Xenopus tropicalis: one gene and its partner. The protein of the gene in region 1 interacts with the protein of each later gene in a biochemical or structural test. Links are inferred from orthologs where the notes say so. Each region holds a gene or a part of one and is shown in the gene's direction. Other genes may lie near its edges.

Region 1 (5,168 bases):
GACCAAGGCATTTCCAAAGAATTCAACATTGCTCCATCATTACTAGCATATAGCTGGAGATTAGGTCTGCTCCCATGGGTGTGAATGTTCATGTGAACCTGGCAGTGTCACAACTTCCCATGAGAAGGTAATGTTCACCTGCCTCTTGAAAGATTACCACATCAGCTTAATCCAAGCCCAGTTGAAGATGTAACCTACCACTATCAGTCGTGTTGGATTTCATAGCTGCTTCATGGGGTTGAACAATTATCCAAAAAGTATCAGGACATTAAACCCCATGTATTTGACTTCTTCTAGGATATGGATCTGATTGATATTCTTTGGAAGCAAGACATTGACCTCGGTGTTAGCCGTGAGGTTTTCGACTATAACCAAAGACAGAAGGAAAATGAATTGGAGAAACAGAAGAAGCTTGAAAAGGAGCGGCAAGAGCAGCTGCAGAAGGAACGGGAAAAAGCACTCTACGCCCAACTGCAATTAGATGAGGAGACAGGGGAATTCATCCCAATCCAACAGGCTGCACCTATTGAGACTGCAGCAGTCACGCAGGAGCTTGCCAGTTCCATTGAGGTAATTAGCCCAGATCTTGTTTATGAAAGAAACATGTGACATAGGGAATTCACATACAATAATGTGGCATCTTTCTTTTTTTTTTTTTGTTCCTATAGGTCAAACCCAGTTTGGTACATGATTTATCCTTTGATGAATGCTTGAAGATTTTGGGTGAAACATTCCAGTTAGGACCAGCTAATGAGGTAAATCACAGTGGTTTAAACCTTGGACTCTCAGTTATTAAAGTAAAACACCTTTCCATGTGAGACCCAGAGCCAGAACAGGAATAAAAGCCTTTAAAGGACCTGTCACCCACACATAAAAAGCTGTATAATAAAAGTCCTTTAAAAATTAAACATGAAACCCAAATTCTTTCTTTTAATTAAATCTGTTATAAAATAAGGCATAGAGGCGGGGCAGACAATATATGATTGTTAGCTCCGATTTTTAATTACAGTTACTTTAACTTTCCATTCAGCGCTTCCTAGATATCACCTTAAATGGCGAATGCAAAAGTTTTTGGGGTGATACAAAGCTTGCCTTAATAACAGTGTTCACAAAATGGCGCTGGCCTGCTTGCTGTGACTGTAAATTCTAAGACTGAAGGGGAAAAAAATTAAATAATTTATATAGTATAAGTAAACAGAAATGACAGCAGAGGAGCTATCTAGCTTACTAGCCATACCCTTTAATTTGAAAAACAGCACCTAGGCTACTCCTAGCCAAAAACTCCACATTTAGAGCCCAAGGCCATCCAGTTTCTTTTGTTAAACCTGCATTTTCAGTTAATGTATGTATATCTGTTTTAGGAATCCTCTTTGGCATACCAGACACTAGAACCCAGTGATCCTATTGAAACAAACCAGACCTTCCTCCAGTCTGAACCAAATCCGGTACCAGCTGGCACGCTGAGCAGCATACCTGCGGAAGGAGAGATTATGCATGAAATGAATCAGGCTTGGGAGGAGTTATTGTCTATTCCTGAGTTACAGGTAACATCACTATATATGCTATGTATATAACTACTTTGTAGTATACTTATTGCATGTAATGAATGGTTGGCCTGATTAAATGAGAGAATGAATTTGTATTGCATTCTTCTGTGCCTCCATGAAGAGAGATAAACGATTGGGTTGGTGGTTTAAAAACATCTTATAATCAACTTTTAATTTTATGTGTTATATAATGAGTCTATAATAGTCTGATCTTTTGGCTCCCATAACCTGATTATTTTATAGGCATATGGAGCCCTGTTGGAAGAAGACCACATCAGCTTGGTCCTTGTGTAAAGTTTCTAACCAGCCTCTTGGGCTTGTTACTATTTTTTAATGAAAACCCCTACTGCAGTGTACTCTGTGTTGGGTACAATGAAGGGGTGTAAAGTGCTCTTCCTATTGGCTAGAATGTGGGGGACCTAGGCAGCTACAAATATTAGATAACCAAATAAGCAATTAAAGACAATTGACCCTTTTCACCCAGCCTGTGTATCTAAATAAGTATACCCGAATTTTCTTGACTAAAACACTGTTTCTTTTCTTCTAACAGTGCCTTAACAATGAGATTGAAAACATGGTGGACCTAAGCATGTATACAAACCAAGAATCCATCACAATGACAGAGACTCCAGACACTTACAGCTTCCTTAGTCCCCTGTCCACTATTGAAAAACCACATGAAAGCAGCACTGTTTTCTCCAGTGATCTTGTGGATACGTTCACTAGTAGTCTACCATCAGTAAACACAAATACAGCCTTTAATGTTGAGTCATTCTGCGATGATATATTTACACTTGACCCAAAAGTGACCAATGTTGTGCCTTTAACAGACAATTCAGGCCAGTTGCTGAATGAGCTTTTGAATGATAACGTTGATATTACAGACTTGTCATTATGTAAAGCTTTTAATGGGAACAACCAACCAGAATTCAATGATTCTGATTCTGGTGTTTCTGTCAATGCCAGTCCATGTGCAACATCACCTTCCCAGTCCATGAGTGGTTCCGTCTATGGTGAGCCTCATCATAGCTACAGTGATTCAGACATGGAAGATATGGACAGCACTCCAGAGACTGCACAGCAAAAACCTCCAGACAATTTTACTGCAGCATTTACTGAGGACACATACTTCACTCTTTCGCCTTTTGTCTCGCATGACACAGATCCCTTTGATATAGAAGCTCACACCCCTTCGGCAAAAGAGATACCTGCTAGCCCAGGCTATAGCAAGGCTCCGTTTGCCAAGGACAAGTATTTAAGCCGCCAAGAAGCTCGTTTCACCAGAGACGAGCAAAGAGCAAAGGTTCTCAACATACCATTCTCTGTCGATAAAATAGTTAACCTTCCAGTGGACAACTTTAATGAGTTGATGTCCAAGTATCAGTTTAACGAGGCCCAGCTTGCCCTCATAAGAGATATAAGGAGGCGGGGCAAAAATAAAGTAGCTGCTCAGAATTGTCGGAAGAGGAAGATGGACAACATAGTGGAATTGGAGACTGATCTGGACAAGCTTAAGTATGAAAAAGAGAAATTACTTGCTGAACGAGGAGAGTACAACAACAGCCTTAGTCAACTGAAGAAGAAGCTTGGCGCCCTGTACATGGAGGTCTTTAATAAGCTGCAAGACGAGAATGGGCAACCATACTCCCCTCATGAATACTCCCTCCAGCAGACAAAGGAGGGAAATATTTTCCTTGTTCCAAAAACCAAGAAAGTTAGCATAAAGAAGGAATAGCAAATATATTATAACATTTTTATTGTTTATTCTGGGATGGAATCCCAGTGTTTGGCCTAAGGTGGATGACTGGGATGCGTTAAAGAAGTAGCTCACCAGAACTAGTCTTTGTACTGTAGCACTTAAACCGGGGCAGGGGTTAAAAAAAATACAAATTAGTCTTATGCAGTTAATAGTTAACTAATTAGTCCAGCTGAAACCTAATTAAACATTTGGAGTGTTTCAGTCTGCACCCTAACAAGGAGTGCTTAGGTAAAACTGGTATGTTTAACAGAGTTATATAGCATATTCAGATGTGTGCTTTCGACAACATTTCCAATATACCGGACTTAAACTGATTAGTATTTTCTGCAAAATCCGGCCTCGTTGTGGCTTGCGAGACAGATGGGCATTACCGGATGCGACTTCTGCAGGATCAGTCATTTTTATTTTCGTTATTAAATATTGTTTCCGTATATCTTGCACTTATTTTTTTTTTTTTGGTTTCAGTAGTCAGAAATCTGAAAATATTTGGTATACAGAAATATATCAGGCAACAGACATCTCATGTAAAATCTGCAGTCTTTTATAGAACATCCTATATTTCCTTATTGCGACACTGTCTTTCTAAATAACTGTAAATAGTGCAATACATCATATTTATGTATATATATAATTCCTATTTTATTTGCTAAGAAACGTACCAAAAATAAATTTAGTACACTAAATATCATTTGTGGCAAATCATGTTTGTAACTGCTGATTCTTTTATAGAGAGCTTTATTTCTTTTTACTTTTTTTTTAATTTTGAATTTTTGGTTTTTTTTCCCTTTTAAATTCTGTTTTCATTTAGCAAGACAGATGACAGTTAATAAAGCATAAAATACCATCTTTCATGCTGATTCTGTGATTGATTTTGTATTTCAAAGAAACACAGTTGGTTGCTAATTCTGTTTTATAATGTAACATTTTTCTATACTATAAAGGTGTAAAGACATAATAGGTAGGGCTTATTTACATTTTGGCATGTTTTCCAATTAATTGTGCAGACTAAAAGGTGGCCATACATGGGTTTATACTGTTACTGATTCAGTCCTTTCAGACCGAGTTGGCAGCTTATTGGTCCATGTATGGGGCCCTCTGACAGACCTTTCTGACCGATATCTGGCTAAAAATCTGGTTTAAAGGTGCCCATACACAGGCTGCATGGTACGGTATTCTCTGTTCAGGATATTAGGATACCGTACAATTAATTATACACTCGTTTGGCCATTTTTCTGTTGAGACCTAAATGATCAAAACAGCAGATAATAAAGAAGAGTTGTGGTTCCTCTTGTCTTCATTTTGGCCCACTGATAGGACAGAATATCCTCAATGCACCAAGATCACAGGATTAACTCTTCAAATGGCCCCTCTGACTTGACATATTTTCCCTGGATGGTCAGGTAGTCAAAATCAACTATTCTGCCCAACCAAATATGTGCAGGGCTGCCTTAAACTGAGTTTGCAGCTACTTAAAATGAATGGTTTCTTTTTATTATTTATTTTATGGAGGCAAGGGTAATCATAAAGGCATTATGGCTTGTTTTATGTCTAGTTAGTGCTTGGGTGATTCTCACCGGGAGCAAGCAGTATCGGACAGGACCACACCACGTGACTTATACGGGTGAGCCATAGTTATGAAGTTAGGTGGAAAAAAGACACGTCCATCAAGTTCAACCTTATATGCCAATATATAACCTGCCTAACTGCTAATTGATCCAGTGGAAAGCAAAAAAAAAAAATCCTTCCTGACTCCAAGAGGGCAATCAGACCAGTCCCTGGATCAACTTGTACTAAGAGCTATCTCCCATACCCCTGTATTCCCTCACTTGTACTGAGAGCTATCTCCCATACCCCTGTATTCC
Region 2 (5,321 bases), on another chromosome or scaffold:
ACTGTTTGGCCAGTGACCGTGCTGCTTGGCCAGTGACCATACTGTTTGGCCAGTGACCGTGCTGCTTGGCCAGTGACCGTGCTGCTTGGCCAGTGATCGTGCTGCTTGGCCAGTGACCGTGCTGCTTGGCCAGTGACCGTGCTGCTTGGCCAGTGACCGTGCTGCTTGGCCAGTGACCGTGCTGTTTGGCCAGTGACCGTACTGCTTGGCCAGTGACCGTACTGCTTGGCCAGTGACCGTACTGCTTGGCCAGTGACCATGTTGCTTGGCCAGTAACTATACTGCTTGGCCAGTGGCGCTTGGGAGGTACATCAGCTCAGGGCCTGGTTTCCACAGATCGTGCTGCAGTTCTATCGGATTGTAGTTGACTCTTCAAAATCAAACATTTTTTCTCCTCATGCACTTTGGTTGTGGGCTTAGTGTAAATCAACAGAATAACGTAACGTTTTTTTGCCAGGCATGGATTTGCAAGGCATTTCCACATTTCACCATTGTTTTGTGAAACTTCATTGAAAATTTGCAGCGGAAAAATTTGTTGTGCTCCAAAAAAATCGCAATCGCATCAAATTGGACATAGGCACGTAAAAATTTGACGCAGTCGTGAAAAAAAGCGCAACAAATGCGTTTCACATATTTTTTCCGTTTCGCTCATCACTAGTCGAGACTCTTCACTTCCTAAAGTCCGACTGCCTGAATGACCAGGACAACAGAATGTTTGATAAATCCTACACATCTGCCTGCCAGCTGCGCCAAGCACAACTCTGCATGGCAGACGCAATGACACAGGATTTATATGAGAATATCCTAAATAAAAAACTTGGAAAATAGTAACTAAAAATGCTTTTTGCACAGGGAACTTAGTAAGTAAATGAGCCCTATTGTTTTTTTCTCCATATATTTGAATGGGAACTGCATAACACCCTAGGTCCGTAGAAATAAATACAATATGTAATAGAAACTACGCTTGATGCCAAGATTATTACCAGGTAAAATAAAATATATTGATTATTTATGTGCTCTGGCTCTGTGCCTCCAGTTAAAGGGCAATAGAGGATAAACGTTATAAGCACCAAGGTAACGCTTCTCTTTGCGCCCCTGTAGGGAAAGATTCTTTCTCCGTTCCGCGCTGCGCAGTGTATTCATCCTTAAGGTGCGGTTGCGCAGTCTGACCGCTAGGTGTCCCTGTTGACACAGATTGCGGGGCTTGTGCCGCTATTGATTTTGATTTTGTACAGAGCAGTGAGCGCAGATGAAAAGGCTAATTAGTGTAGTTAGTATAGACAAACGCTAAACACCTTGGGCTTTGATTCAGGGAAGCTTGAGTTTAATGCCATGTCAGCCCTTTCTATCCATCTGCAGCCCCATTTTTAGAGTGCAAGCTCCGTGGCACAGAAAGTCACTGCGCTTGGATTGTATGATTTCTGTGCAGGAGTAAGGATGTTATAATGTGCCGATGGCCGGTGTTTCTCATGCACAGGGACAACTCGATATTAGTCAAATGGAGGGAAAGCAATAATAATATAAAAATATCTTTATTGTCTTATCCAAGCCGATCTCATGCCAATAATCATAGGCTTCTCCAGTTCTTCAGGTGAAGTTGAAGTTAAAGTGAGGCAAAAGCTACGGGCTCCCCTACCATTCATGGCCTATAGGTGCCTCACGGTAGGTATAAGTGCCGCCTAATGGCCGTGCTGCTAGATGGTTGCACAGAGATGCCAATCAGTAAGCGCTATAGGAACATACACGCACAATTATCCTTGGAAGGGATCTTATCTCCGTCCCCTCCCCCCACACACAGTGCAATAACTCTTACACATTCCCATCTCCCCGCCCCCCCCCCGGGAGTAGCACACAGGCTGCACTGTTTAGTTACGGGAGGGTTTGTATCCACTGAAGCCCCGCCCCCTCCCTCCGCGTAGCTCCGCCCTGTTCCTCTCTAACACCTCTGAGTGAATGGAGCCGGGCTGCACTTAGCTACAGGCGCCCAGCGTTGCTGCTACTGCTGCCAGCTCTCCCCGTGTATGGCAGCTCCTCCTCCCTCAGCCCATGTGCCCTGCAGGAAGCCCGACAGAAGCCTGCCGACCCTCAGTCTGATATTCCGGCGCAGCTGCCTGTGTGTGTCCCCCTCCCTGTGCAGAGCCCGGGGTCAACTCCTAACAGTTGGGCGATTGTTCGGAAGGATCAGCTGCAGCCTGCGACTCTAGGAAGGGACTGTTGGGCGCTCCTTGTACTGTGATGCTTCCCAGTGAGCTGGAGGTGAGTTTTGCGCGACTTTGTTGCTTTCCTACTGCTCTGCTTTCCAAACGCAGCGATACACATGATAGCGACTCCTGTCTCTGGAGGGAGAAGCTGGGGGTTTCCTAGTACTGTGTCCCTTTAAATTAGCTGCAACAGCAAAGCAAGCGACTCTGTTCTAGCTGTTGCCATTGACATGACCCTATGTATAAAGGCTTGTACTAATTAGCTTAACTCCATGTACCACGGCAATTACTATTAACATGCCCCTATGTATAATGGCTTGTGCTATTGGCTTCACTTTATGTACTATGACAATTGCTATTAACATGCCCCTATGTATAATGGCTTGTACTATTGGCTTCACTTTATGTATAATGGCAATTACTATTAACATGCCCCTGTGTATAATGGCTTGTGCTATTGGCTTAACTTTATGTACTATGGCAATTACTATTAACATGACCCTATGTATAATGGCTTGTGCTATTGGCTTCACTTTATGTATAATGGCAATTACTATCAACATGCCCCTATGTATAATGGCTTGTGCTATTGGCTTCACTTTATGTACTATGGCAATTACTATCAACATGCCCCTATGTATAATGGCTTGTGCTATTGGCTTCACTTTATGTACTATGGCAATTACTATTAACATGACCCTATGTATAATGGCTTGTACTATTGGCTTCACTTTATGTATAATGGCAATTACTATTAACATGCCCCTGTGTATAATGGCTTGTGCTACTGGCTTCACTTTATGTATCATGGCAATTGCTATTAAGATGCCCCTATGTTTCCTTGCTTGACACTATGTATTATGTATATGTAATTAACATGACTGTTTATCATGGCTTGTGCTATCGGCTTGACGCTTGGTACCATGTGCTGCAATTGTGACTGTAGCTGAAATGGGCACTGAGCATGCTGGGTCTGGGCCATATGTCTGCTGTGCCTCCCCTGTGCCTGTAATTCTATATGAGCATTGTCCCTCCGGGTTTCAGTAGAACAACAGCTGGGGGGCTGCATGCTGGACATCTACTTATGGAGTATCTGCCAGTTATAGCCACATATAACATGTCCTATATACTTTGTTGTTGACTCCCAGATGGACCCCCTGATGTTTGAGGTCCCTATGAACTTCCCTACTCTAAAAGCCCTGTATGTACCTGAGCAATTGCTTGAATGGAGCATGTTATACCATTGTGTTACTATCTCCATCTCTGACCCATTCCCTCCCATATACCAGTGCTTCACTGGGACCCCCAATTTGATGCAGGTTACATTAAAAGAACATGCTTTACTTGCCCCCTGACAGCTAAAGAAGTAAGAAAGTTTAATTTTGGTTGTTCTATGTGGCCGGGAAATGTGTGAAACACTTGGCCCAAGGGGTTAATGATCATGTTATTCATGCAGAAAGCGCTTAGCAGGGAACAGCCCAACGTGCGAGAGCTCAGTTTTCGAGGTTGGTCACTACAGAAACATGGGCTTAGCCTCACACGTGCTGCGCACACCGCTGTCATGTAGTGTTAGGATGAAGCGTGTAACTCCGGCGCTTCATTGAGAAGAGTAGTGCCTGCGCTAATTCTACTGGGCTAAGCTGATCATGGGGGTCATTCACAAGTTCTTACCCTGGGGGGGCTCTTCAAGCATTGCCACTGTTTTATTGGTCGTTTTGAGCTTATTTTGTTTTGCTTTCCTGTCCATTGACAAGATGCATTTGTGATTTGTGTTGCTTAGAATGAATCTTAGAATGAATATCGGCATATATATACATTGCATTTAGTAATGCAAATATGGGAATAAAGGGTCATAAGTTGGCAGTACCAGCTGTAACTGAACTGATTGTGGGTTTTGCACAGGTTGGTACAGTGGCACTCAAACCCCATTCGCTGGTGCTAAATTGCATTAGAGTTGTGCATGTGCAATCAGATGCACTCTAACTTGGTGGCATTGGTTAGATCACATAGTAAATGACTGTCTGGAGCCTTGTTATTAGTAGAGAATGGGTACAAATGCCACTCTAACGATCTAAAAAGTTTTGGTCAAAACCCCATTGTTTCCTTTTGTGCTCTGTATAAGTGTATCATTAGGGGACCCTGTAGCAGAAATGCTCTAATAATCAGCTGATAGCTGCCCTGGTGATGGTAATTAACAGTAATGATGACAATTGCACCACATATCAAAGGACTGTGACACATGATATATTTGTATTTCGGCTACTTGCAGTGACAGTCAAAACATCCGCTATCCACAAATGATCTCTTCCCACTGATAGTAAGGGGAAGCCACACATCGGTTGCCCTGCATTTATTCTTGCTGCCCAAACCCCCCTCAATGCTGCATTGGTATTATTTCTATGCTCAGTACAAGCTGTGGCGCTTCCCTTCATATCGGTAGAAAGAAACCCAGAGTAGTTAGTGGCTTTTCCATCACTGCTATTCATAGCAGCAGTCAAAATGCTACATGTCCTGTAGCCCTACGTTTCTAGCAGCCTATTGTCTATAGATGATGCTAAACTGCAATTCTCATGTCCCATCAGCAGTTGAAGTTGGGAAGACACTGGAAATTGTAGTTTAGCAGTCTTAATGGCCACAGGTTGCCCAATACCCCTATGTATTCATATGTAGCTTCCCATGTCTCCAGCCTAGTGGGGAGATAATGATTTCTGCACCAATGTGATTTCCCAGTGTTGCCCTTTATGACTGTCTCAATGATCTTGGTGCAAGTTGTGTCTTCATAGAGATCTGCAAAAACAATTGCTGCTAGTTGATAATGAAATAAAGGCTTATATTTCAAAAGGAGCAGCTAGGAACATTGTCTGGCTCTTGGCTCTGCCCATTGGAGTTCTGTGCCCAGCTCTGTCGATGGAAGTAAAACTATTGAAATCTTGGTGCCCATATTGTGATCCTTCTTAAATATTAATTCATCATTACACACTGTACTTTCATCAGTGTCTTAGAGGGGCCCTTTAAGCACAGGGGGCATGTACAATCTCAAGTAAGAATGTTCATTTGAGCAGGCTTGAGACACAATTACAAAGTGCTGTAACTAAATGAAACCTGGCAGCCGACTAATCT

Evidence for each region.
Region 2: the proteins of nfe2l2 (region 1) and enc1 form a complex in vitro, tested with the Homo sapiens proteins (2 studies listed by BioGRID). The link is inferred for Xenopus tropicalis from reciprocal best matches to the Homo sapiens genes NFE2L2 and ENC1.

The regions. Positions count from the first base shown.
Region 1 is NC_030685.2:65,682,364-65,687,531, reverse strand, and holds the end of nfe2l2 (nuclear factor erythroid 2-related factor 2), read left to right. Parts: intron 1-297; coding exon 298-570; intron 571-668; coding exon 669-755; intron 756-1,361; coding exon 1,362-1,544; intron 1,545-2,097; coding exon 2,098-3,282; 3' UTR 3,283-4,155; downstream 4,156-5,168.
Region 2 is NC_030677.2:183,964,050-183,969,370, reverse strand, and holds the start of enc1 (ectoderm-neural cortex protein 1), read left to right. Parts: upstream 1-1,896; 5' UTR 1,897-2,256; intron 2,257-5,321. UniProt on the Homo sapiens protein: Actin-binding protein involved in the regulation of neuronal process formation and in differentiation of neural crest cells.